Linked DNA regions of Styela clava. The main gene of each other region encodes a partner of the protein of the gene in region 2 in a complex. Links are inferred from orthologs where the notes say so. Each region holds a gene or a part of one and is shown on either strand. Other genes may lie near its edges. The genes, in order: desert hedgehog protein A-like and protein dispatched homolog 1-like.

Region 1 (3,937 bases), on a different chromosome or scaffold from region 2:
TTTGGGGTATATTAAAAACGCGCTCCCCCGTGTCTGGCAGAATATATTTGTCTGCTTTTGGCTTTCTTGATTTGCTGTTACCTTCAAATCAACAATGTTTGCAATGTAGTAAAATCTGGGTCCAGTTCGCTTACAATCTTCTGACAGTGACGTTTTTATGAAAAGCGCAAACAATTTGATCTAATACATCCGAATAAAGAATTTGTTTTCATATTTTGATCCGTGTATAGTGGACATCTATAACACTCCAATCGGGCTCAGAATGCAGTATATCACTGGATACATAAAAAGACATATATATTCGATATGCACAACACATTTACGTTTTCAAAAATATGACTTTTGATATGAAGAAGTCAAACATAACAAAATGTAGACAGAAATGCTCGGGTAAACTTACGATTTTTTTGAAAATTCTTTTCGACGTGAAAGACGAAATACCAATGTGACGCAGACAAAATCATTGCTAGAACAAACTGTCGAATTGAAACGTACATGGGCGTTCCGGTACAAGACAAATATTGTATCGGTGGCGTCATTCATCTTATTCCCGGGTAAAAACTGATCGGATGATTATGTCGTGTAAATTTCATGACATAATCGTCTTTGACCGGACATCACACAGCCCAATGTAATAAAGATTTGAATTTCTTGTCGATTGCGGCTTGAGAGTAAACTCCACTACAACTGGACACTTAGGTTTGAGTTGTATCTAAAATTTTATGACATTTTACCGCAGTGGCCAGCCTCCGAGGTCCGCAATCTCAATTTATGTAGCGGCTAATAAACAATTATTAAGCTGCCACAACAGTTTTATCTGTTTGGCGTAATGAAACAATGTTCCCCAGGACTCAATAACTCAATTTTACGGGAAATTGTTGCACAAAATCAAACTAACGGCAAATCGTTCGAAGGTCGTCTGTGACATTCAAATTTATTTTCAATATCTGACTGTCACTATCGATCGATCAACAAACAGGTTAGCACAAACGCGAAATTACAATTCTTCAGCCGACAAAATACATTGCACATGGTGCATATACCATTATTTCTTGGGTTTAGCCAATACAACAACAAGAAAAGGTAAGATTTTCCTGTTTATTTGTTGCACGTATAAAAAGATTTCTGTGATTGCGGTCATTCGTTTGCTTTTTTGGGGTCGATCTTTCAACTGTTTTTCGCTGACTTATTACGACAAAAATACCGCAAGATATGAATTTTTTGAAGACAGCGGTAAAACCGGTAAAAAATAACAACAAAATTCGCAACTGATTTTGTTCACGCCATCCACCTCAAATTGCAACCGAAACGACGTTTGGCGGTGACATAACGGCTGAGGTTTAATCCACATGCAACGGAGCATGGCAAAAAGTTACTATTTCGGCAACACTAAAATAAACATGCGGAGGAGTATAACCAACCAACCGTCGATATGTTTAGAGTTTTCATTGAAATAACAATTATGATTTACCGTAACAAAGCAGTTCCAAATTTTCATGTTTATTTGACGTTATGATATGCGGTTTATAAGAAATACTTTTAGTGATGAGGTACTGAGATCGAGACCTAAGTTGTAACTTTTAAAGATTGATGAAAAACTACGCGCCACGTTAACGTTGAATGTCAATTACCTACCCAACGCGAAAAAAAATAATAAAATTTGACAAAACATTCCCTAGCAAGATTTCAGTGTTTTAGTTGTTTTGTTTAATTCACTAAAAAAATATTTTCACACACAAATCACTCTTCAAACGTATCTTATAAATAGATATGTAAGATTATTTTATCGCGATAAATGGCCTTCATATAAGCCTACATGTAAGCGGACTTATTTCGTCTATCGCGTAAGGAGGCTGGGAGTTATTGAACAGTAGTGTGTAGTTAGTATGAAGTAAGTTTGATTACATATGTTTCCCATGATGACGACGAACCTTTCTGTCTAACAAGAAAATATGCCATAATATTCTATATTACGAATTACCTCGAAATGAGCGGTAACAATTTTTAGTTTCACACGCTTACAAATACAGTCAAAGAATACAATTGAGATCTTGTGAGCTGAATTATCTTCGATGAAGTCTGTATATTTTTCATTGCAAGTTGCTTCAAGTGATTTTGTGTATGTGTGTGTGTGTGTGTAAAAAAGAGAATTCAATATATTCATACCTTTGACATTCGACGATCATCGTCAGTTCCTTCTTCATTTTTAAAAACAACTTGTGGGTTATAGTTTACAATGAGATCTTTGAATCTTTTGTCTTCTCGTGTTATCCTTCCTTCTGGTGGCCCACTTGCTCCGATGGTAAATTCTGATATGTTTGGAATATGTTGTTTCAGCACCAAAGGTGTCAGTAATCTCGAAGGTTTCCGCCTCTTTGGAGGAACCCCAGGCCCGTGACAACCGTCAGTTACTCGATTATGAGAGACAATCAGCAATAGTCCGACAATGATTATAATTTCTTGACAATTCATTTCGTCCTCAGAGCTGTACATCTGGTTCCATTGGCGTAAAATATTATAACATATTTCTATTTTTATTGCATTGCGTATTGGGAAAAAAGAAAGATAAATTGTTATTTTTCTGCAAAAAAACCGAGAAAAGAAATACCCTAACTTTCGACGAAACCATTTATGCAGCTGCAACAATCTTATTTACCTTAATTTTAAGACAGTTTTAACCTGCCAGCCATCCGGCGCAATAATACAAAACTTCCAAACAGGAGAAAAGTCGCCTCTTTGTCAACTGAAATTTAAATTTGAAATCGGAAACAAACGCGAGGATTAAGAAATCAATAATGTCTGCACCAACGCGGAATACATTAGCGGAACGACAAAATGGGCTTGTAACAAATTAACGCAATAATGGTCCAGCGTGACCTAAATGATGGACTGAGTGAATCAATGAGTCGGCCGGTGAGTAGAAATGGTGACCGTGCCAGGGGATTTCATTTTAATTAATGTCCTACTGTGACAGAATAGAAGAAGAATCCAATTAATTTGGCACGTGTGGAATGTTGTTTTTATACAAAAGCTACACAATAATGAAAATAATTTTATTTTGTAAATAGGTAATATTATTTCAAAAACTTCTGATTTTTATTATCCTCCTGCTATACATTTTTAGTATGACTTGGGCAAGAGTATTCATTTTTCGATTTCGTTGGACCTAGGTGATTTGTCAGATCACAAGATTGTACCGCTTCATTGAGATTCTTATGTTATTATATTGCCGTATGTAATTATTCGTTTCCAATAGTATTTCTGTTCTGACCACGTTGCATATATAAATCGAAACTACGTTACCGTCCCATAGCTGAACTAAATCAGCTGTATTACTGTTATCGGATTTTCTTGAGAAAAACAAGGAGTATATTTGTGTAATAGGTTCATTGTTATCGTTCAAATTACAAGCATTCATTAAATTTTATTAAGATTACGAAAGTATGGTCCATCCATGATCACGAAGCACTGAATATCTTGCATAATGAAGCCTTTTTTCGAGGCAAAATTATTTGTCAAAGTTAGTCGCGACAGCTGCAGAACAAATGCAGCAGAAACATTTTGCACCAATTATTATGTTGTACATCGCTTTTTATGCAAAAACGCTTTGGCCGTGTGTGATTGTTGAAATATTTGGGTCAAATAGGGTTTTTTGATCTGTTTTTGCAATAAACGAATTGAACTACGGTATCACATGATAGAAAGGAAATTCAGAATTTTCGAACCGAATGCCTGGGGCTGAAGGAGACTGAAAGAATATTTTGGTATTGCACAATATTTCTAATATGTTTCTTATTACCCAAAAGGAAATTTAACAAAATGAAGATTACCAAAAGTACTTATTCCACGTACAAAAATGCGCTCAACTTTTGATGGGTAAAATTTCAAAATGGTACCATCTTGAGATACGATGCATCTTCGGGAGAGTAGCACTCTG
Region 2 (3,937 bases):
CATGAGATTCCATAGTAAATCAAATCATATCCTAAGAATGTATTCATTTAAAATTACAATTTTCAGTGAAATTCTGCCATTATTGCAGAAAATTATAAGTTGCAAACTATTTTATTTTTTGAGAGAAACTAAATATTGCTGACATATAAACATATATATTATGTCAAAGCTTATAGTATTCATTATAGCAATAAGAAGTCCTACAAAAGTAGTACAAATTATTCAATTCTTAATCAGGCTTTCACAATTTCCATTAACAATAATAATTATAACGATATACAAACCAGTCAACATTTTTTTCTTGTTCTTTTCTTCTGCGTCGTCGTTCCTCAACAGATTTTAAAACTCTAGCAACTTCTTCATCTGACTTTTCCTCCATGTCTAAAATAGTTTGTTACAATTTGGCAATAACGTATCTCCATGTACTAACAGCACTTTATAAAGGTCATGGTTGTTTGCTTAGCATACTTCATATTTTCTCATGGAATTTAGCGTAACGAAACTGACAACTATATTACAGGACAGGCGTGATAACAGGAAAACAAAACAAGCAACATTTGTCACAAACCAAAACCCAAAATAGATTGTACTTTATTAATAGCGCATTCATTTACGATATATGCTTGGTTGATCATAAAATTCACTATATATGTTCTGGTACCACATGGAGTAGACAGAAGCAAACAATGGCAACACAATATATATTTATGATTTCATAACTATCAATAACCAAAATTAAACATGTAAAGGAAAATTTCTGAATATTATTTTGAAATTGACTATAAAAAGAACAGAGTTTACCTAATGCATTCAATCTTGTCTATAATATAACCAAATATTTCAAGTTAATTTAGATTAAAAAAATTTCAAATTTGCAGCATGTAAAATCTGCATTTGGATATACATAATAAATATACTGCATAGCAAATAAGGATTAGTTTTAACAGGGCATTACACATTTTCACTTCAAGTCAATATATAATTAGTCACTTTTAATAGTTATAGGACTATACTTTTTTCACTTCAGCATGGCCTACTCATTCTATTAGAACATTGATGAGGTATGAAGTTTTACATACGCCATACGTTAGTGAATATAAATTTCTGGTATTTAAATTGAAAATATTTTTTTTGAAAATATGCATTTTCCAGATAAGTTGTCTGGACATCATTAGCATGCACAGAAATTTGTTCTTTATTTGAAAAATTTTCAATTTCTGACAATAAACTGAAAATAAAATCTAAGTTAGGCCGGGCAAAACAAATCTATCATAAAATCTACAATAAATCTAAATCCTGTTTCGCTAAACAACGCTAGGAATTGTGTCGCACAACAAAAGAATATTCATAAAAGTAGACCATTTCTCATTTCTCAAGTATCCTGTTGTTTGTTTGGATAACAATTTACATCATCATGTAATCTTAAATATAATAGGAGGATAGAAGGATCAAGAGACATTATATATGCGTAAATATCCATGTTATGCGGATATTAATAGCCATGAAAATCAAAAAGTCAGTTTGCAATAGGCCAGTATAATTTGATGAAGCAGCTATTTTAAGCAATCAACACAAGATACCGGTAGGCCTATATGAGATAATTGACTTAATAGCAAAATGATCAAAACAATTATTTTATCAATATTATATTTATTGATTACTTAACAAAATCGTAATAAATTTCACACTATGTGTAAAAACAAGTTAAATCCCAATTCCCAAAGATGAAATTAACACATCACAATGGAACAACTACAGAACCCGGAATTACCTAGGAAGGCAAGCCTACTCTCCAATTTTTGAGTTTCAAATTTCAAAAAATAATGTGAATGACCCTAATTTGTAAAGATATCTTATCTTCAAAGGTATTTTATTATGTTCAATGTAGTGCTCTTACATTCCTACGCTGCAACCTATACTCGAATTTTAAAAAAGATATACGATAACTATATTATGCTGTAAATTCTTGATTTAACTTTTTTTTTTTTCATTTTCATTCTACTTTTTTTCATATGTTCATAATAAAAACAGTCTTGTTTAACTTTTGATAAGTCAGGTTTTAGATAAACTTCTGCTACTCTCACTACTTACAAATACAATTTCTACGTGGAAAATTCTAATCTTTGTAAATATAAAATATGCATAATACGTCATTTAAAAACAATTCAAGATGGGAAAAATACGAAAACTCACCTAGGAGGTGGTGGAGAAAAGTCGTTTAGAGGCACTTTAAATACTGCAAATAACAGCAGAAGCTGTAATATCATCCAGAATGGACGTCATAAATCATTCAGATATGAGTCGAATTTCATATTAATTCCCATTCACTTGTATTCAGTTAACAGATAATGCATTCCGACGAATGATTTTGTTTCAGCCTTACTTTTCATGTTTATATAAACAATTTTATCTGTTTTCTAAATTTTAAAAATGAACAAATACAAATAAAGGTATTAAATAATCGTAACACAGTAAATAAATTTCATGGAAAATTGATTGAAACGCAAGTCAGTCATGTACATGAAAATATAAAATTTTCTGGTATTATCAACATTTTTCACGCTTAATTCTATTGAGTTAGAAGTTGAATTCTGATTCAAATTTGGATTCCATTGCCGCCTTGCTTTGAAGTTAATATTGAATACCATCATAAAAATTTGGACATAGATTAAAACCGTAAGGATGACTCAAAAATGACAAAGCTCATAAATTTCTTAATCACTTGTACGAAAATGGAGAAAACTTCTACATGTGTTGATTGTACACAAAAGTTTTGGCAATTTAGGACGCTTTGCACAAAAGTTTTCTCTAGAATATTCTGTTCTTTTTTTTGGGTCACCCATAAATAAAAGTCATAAACAAGCAATATTGCAATAGACATAAAAAGGGAAATCAAACTACACAATTACATTTAACTGGAATAGCTATACCATCAAATAGGGGAGGAAGAATTCATAACCTTATCTTAGAAAAATTGAAAATTTAATCAAAATGGCATGCACTTGCATGGAAATTTTACATATTATATATTCTGGCACTTATCAAATGAATCAACTTTTCAGAGGATAAAAATCACAAAACCAATTATGTATACGAAGATTCAAATTGGTCACAAATCAAAAATAGTATGAACTATACGAAGACAATTTGTCTCAGATTTCAACATTGTAACTCAAAATTGTTGGTGGTTAATAAATCATACCTGTTGTTTTTATAGTTCTATGATAAAATAATTTTCAAATACACCCTTTCAGGCAAATTCTCTGCTTTTAATGTCATGTAACAAATTACATCCAAATACTATCCCATGTAAGGAATGTTGAAAATAACAAGCATAGTTTTATCAAATCAAAGACATATCCCTGTTATGCACAACGCAGTTTGACACAAAGCAGCAATTATGAAAATAAAAGTGATTCAGAAGTTAGCTCAAACATGAATCATATTTTAAAAAAAGAATGAAAGTCGATAGACATTCGCGTAGCTTATTCTATAATAATTTAAATAAACAAATTTTTAGAATCTAACTGCATATAAACTCCTCCACTTTTCAATGCTTATGAACATATAATTCTTCTTCTTTTGAGTGTCATTTCAAACGTGGGTGGAAACATTGATATTCCGCAAAAATATTAATAATCAAGGCATATGGAACCATTGATAAGAAAAAAACACATAGTAAAAAATTGACACACAATTTTAAATGTACACCTGTTTAGTAATAATAATACTAACAATAAATAAAGTATGATATTACGTTAACTCCTTGATTGTGTGATAAAGTCTTGTTAGTACAAAATAATGTATAGGAAGACAAGACCTGCGATCGCGAGATACAGGGTCGCAGGTCAACCACGACAGTGCATTATAATTTTCCATCACATATCGCAGAACTTGAGCAGTTTTATGAGAATCTAATTCATGATGTTCATCATTT

The links.
Region 1: the proteins of protein dispatched homolog 1-like (region 2) and desert hedgehog protein A-like are in contact, whole or in part, in a cryo-EM structure (PDB 6TD6), measured with the Drosophila melanogaster proteins. The link is inferred for Styela clava from reciprocal best matches to the Drosophila melanogaster genes disp and hh. Residues at the interface, in NP_524734.2 of Drosophila melanogaster: His77, His78, Arg250, Tyr253, Glu296, Ala404, Gln405, Ser406, Asn407, Arg408, Gly434, Asn755; in NP_001034065.1 of Drosophila melanogaster: Tyr100, Pro101, Val103, Leu104, Lys105, Gln106, Thr107, Asn110, Leu111, Ser117, Glu164, Lys165, Val168, Ala228, Gly229.

The regions. Positions count from the first base shown.
Region 1 is NC_135251.1:20,005,516-20,009,452, forward strand, and holds the start of desert hedgehog protein A-like, read right to left. Parts: upstream 2,525-3,937; 5' UTR 2,494-2,524; coding exon 2,167-2,493; intron 1-2,166.
Region 2 is NC_135255.1:3,997,740-4,001,676, forward strand, and holds the start of protein dispatched homolog 1-like, read right to left. Parts: upstream 2,408-3,937; 5' UTR 2,194-2,407; intron 382-2,193; 5' UTR 380-381; coding exon 285-379; intron 1-284. Other genes in the region: mediator of RNA polymerase II transcription subunit 13-like, read right to left, coding at 3,754-3,937. UniProt on the Drosophila melanogaster protein: Segment polarity protein which functions in hedgehog (Hh) signaling.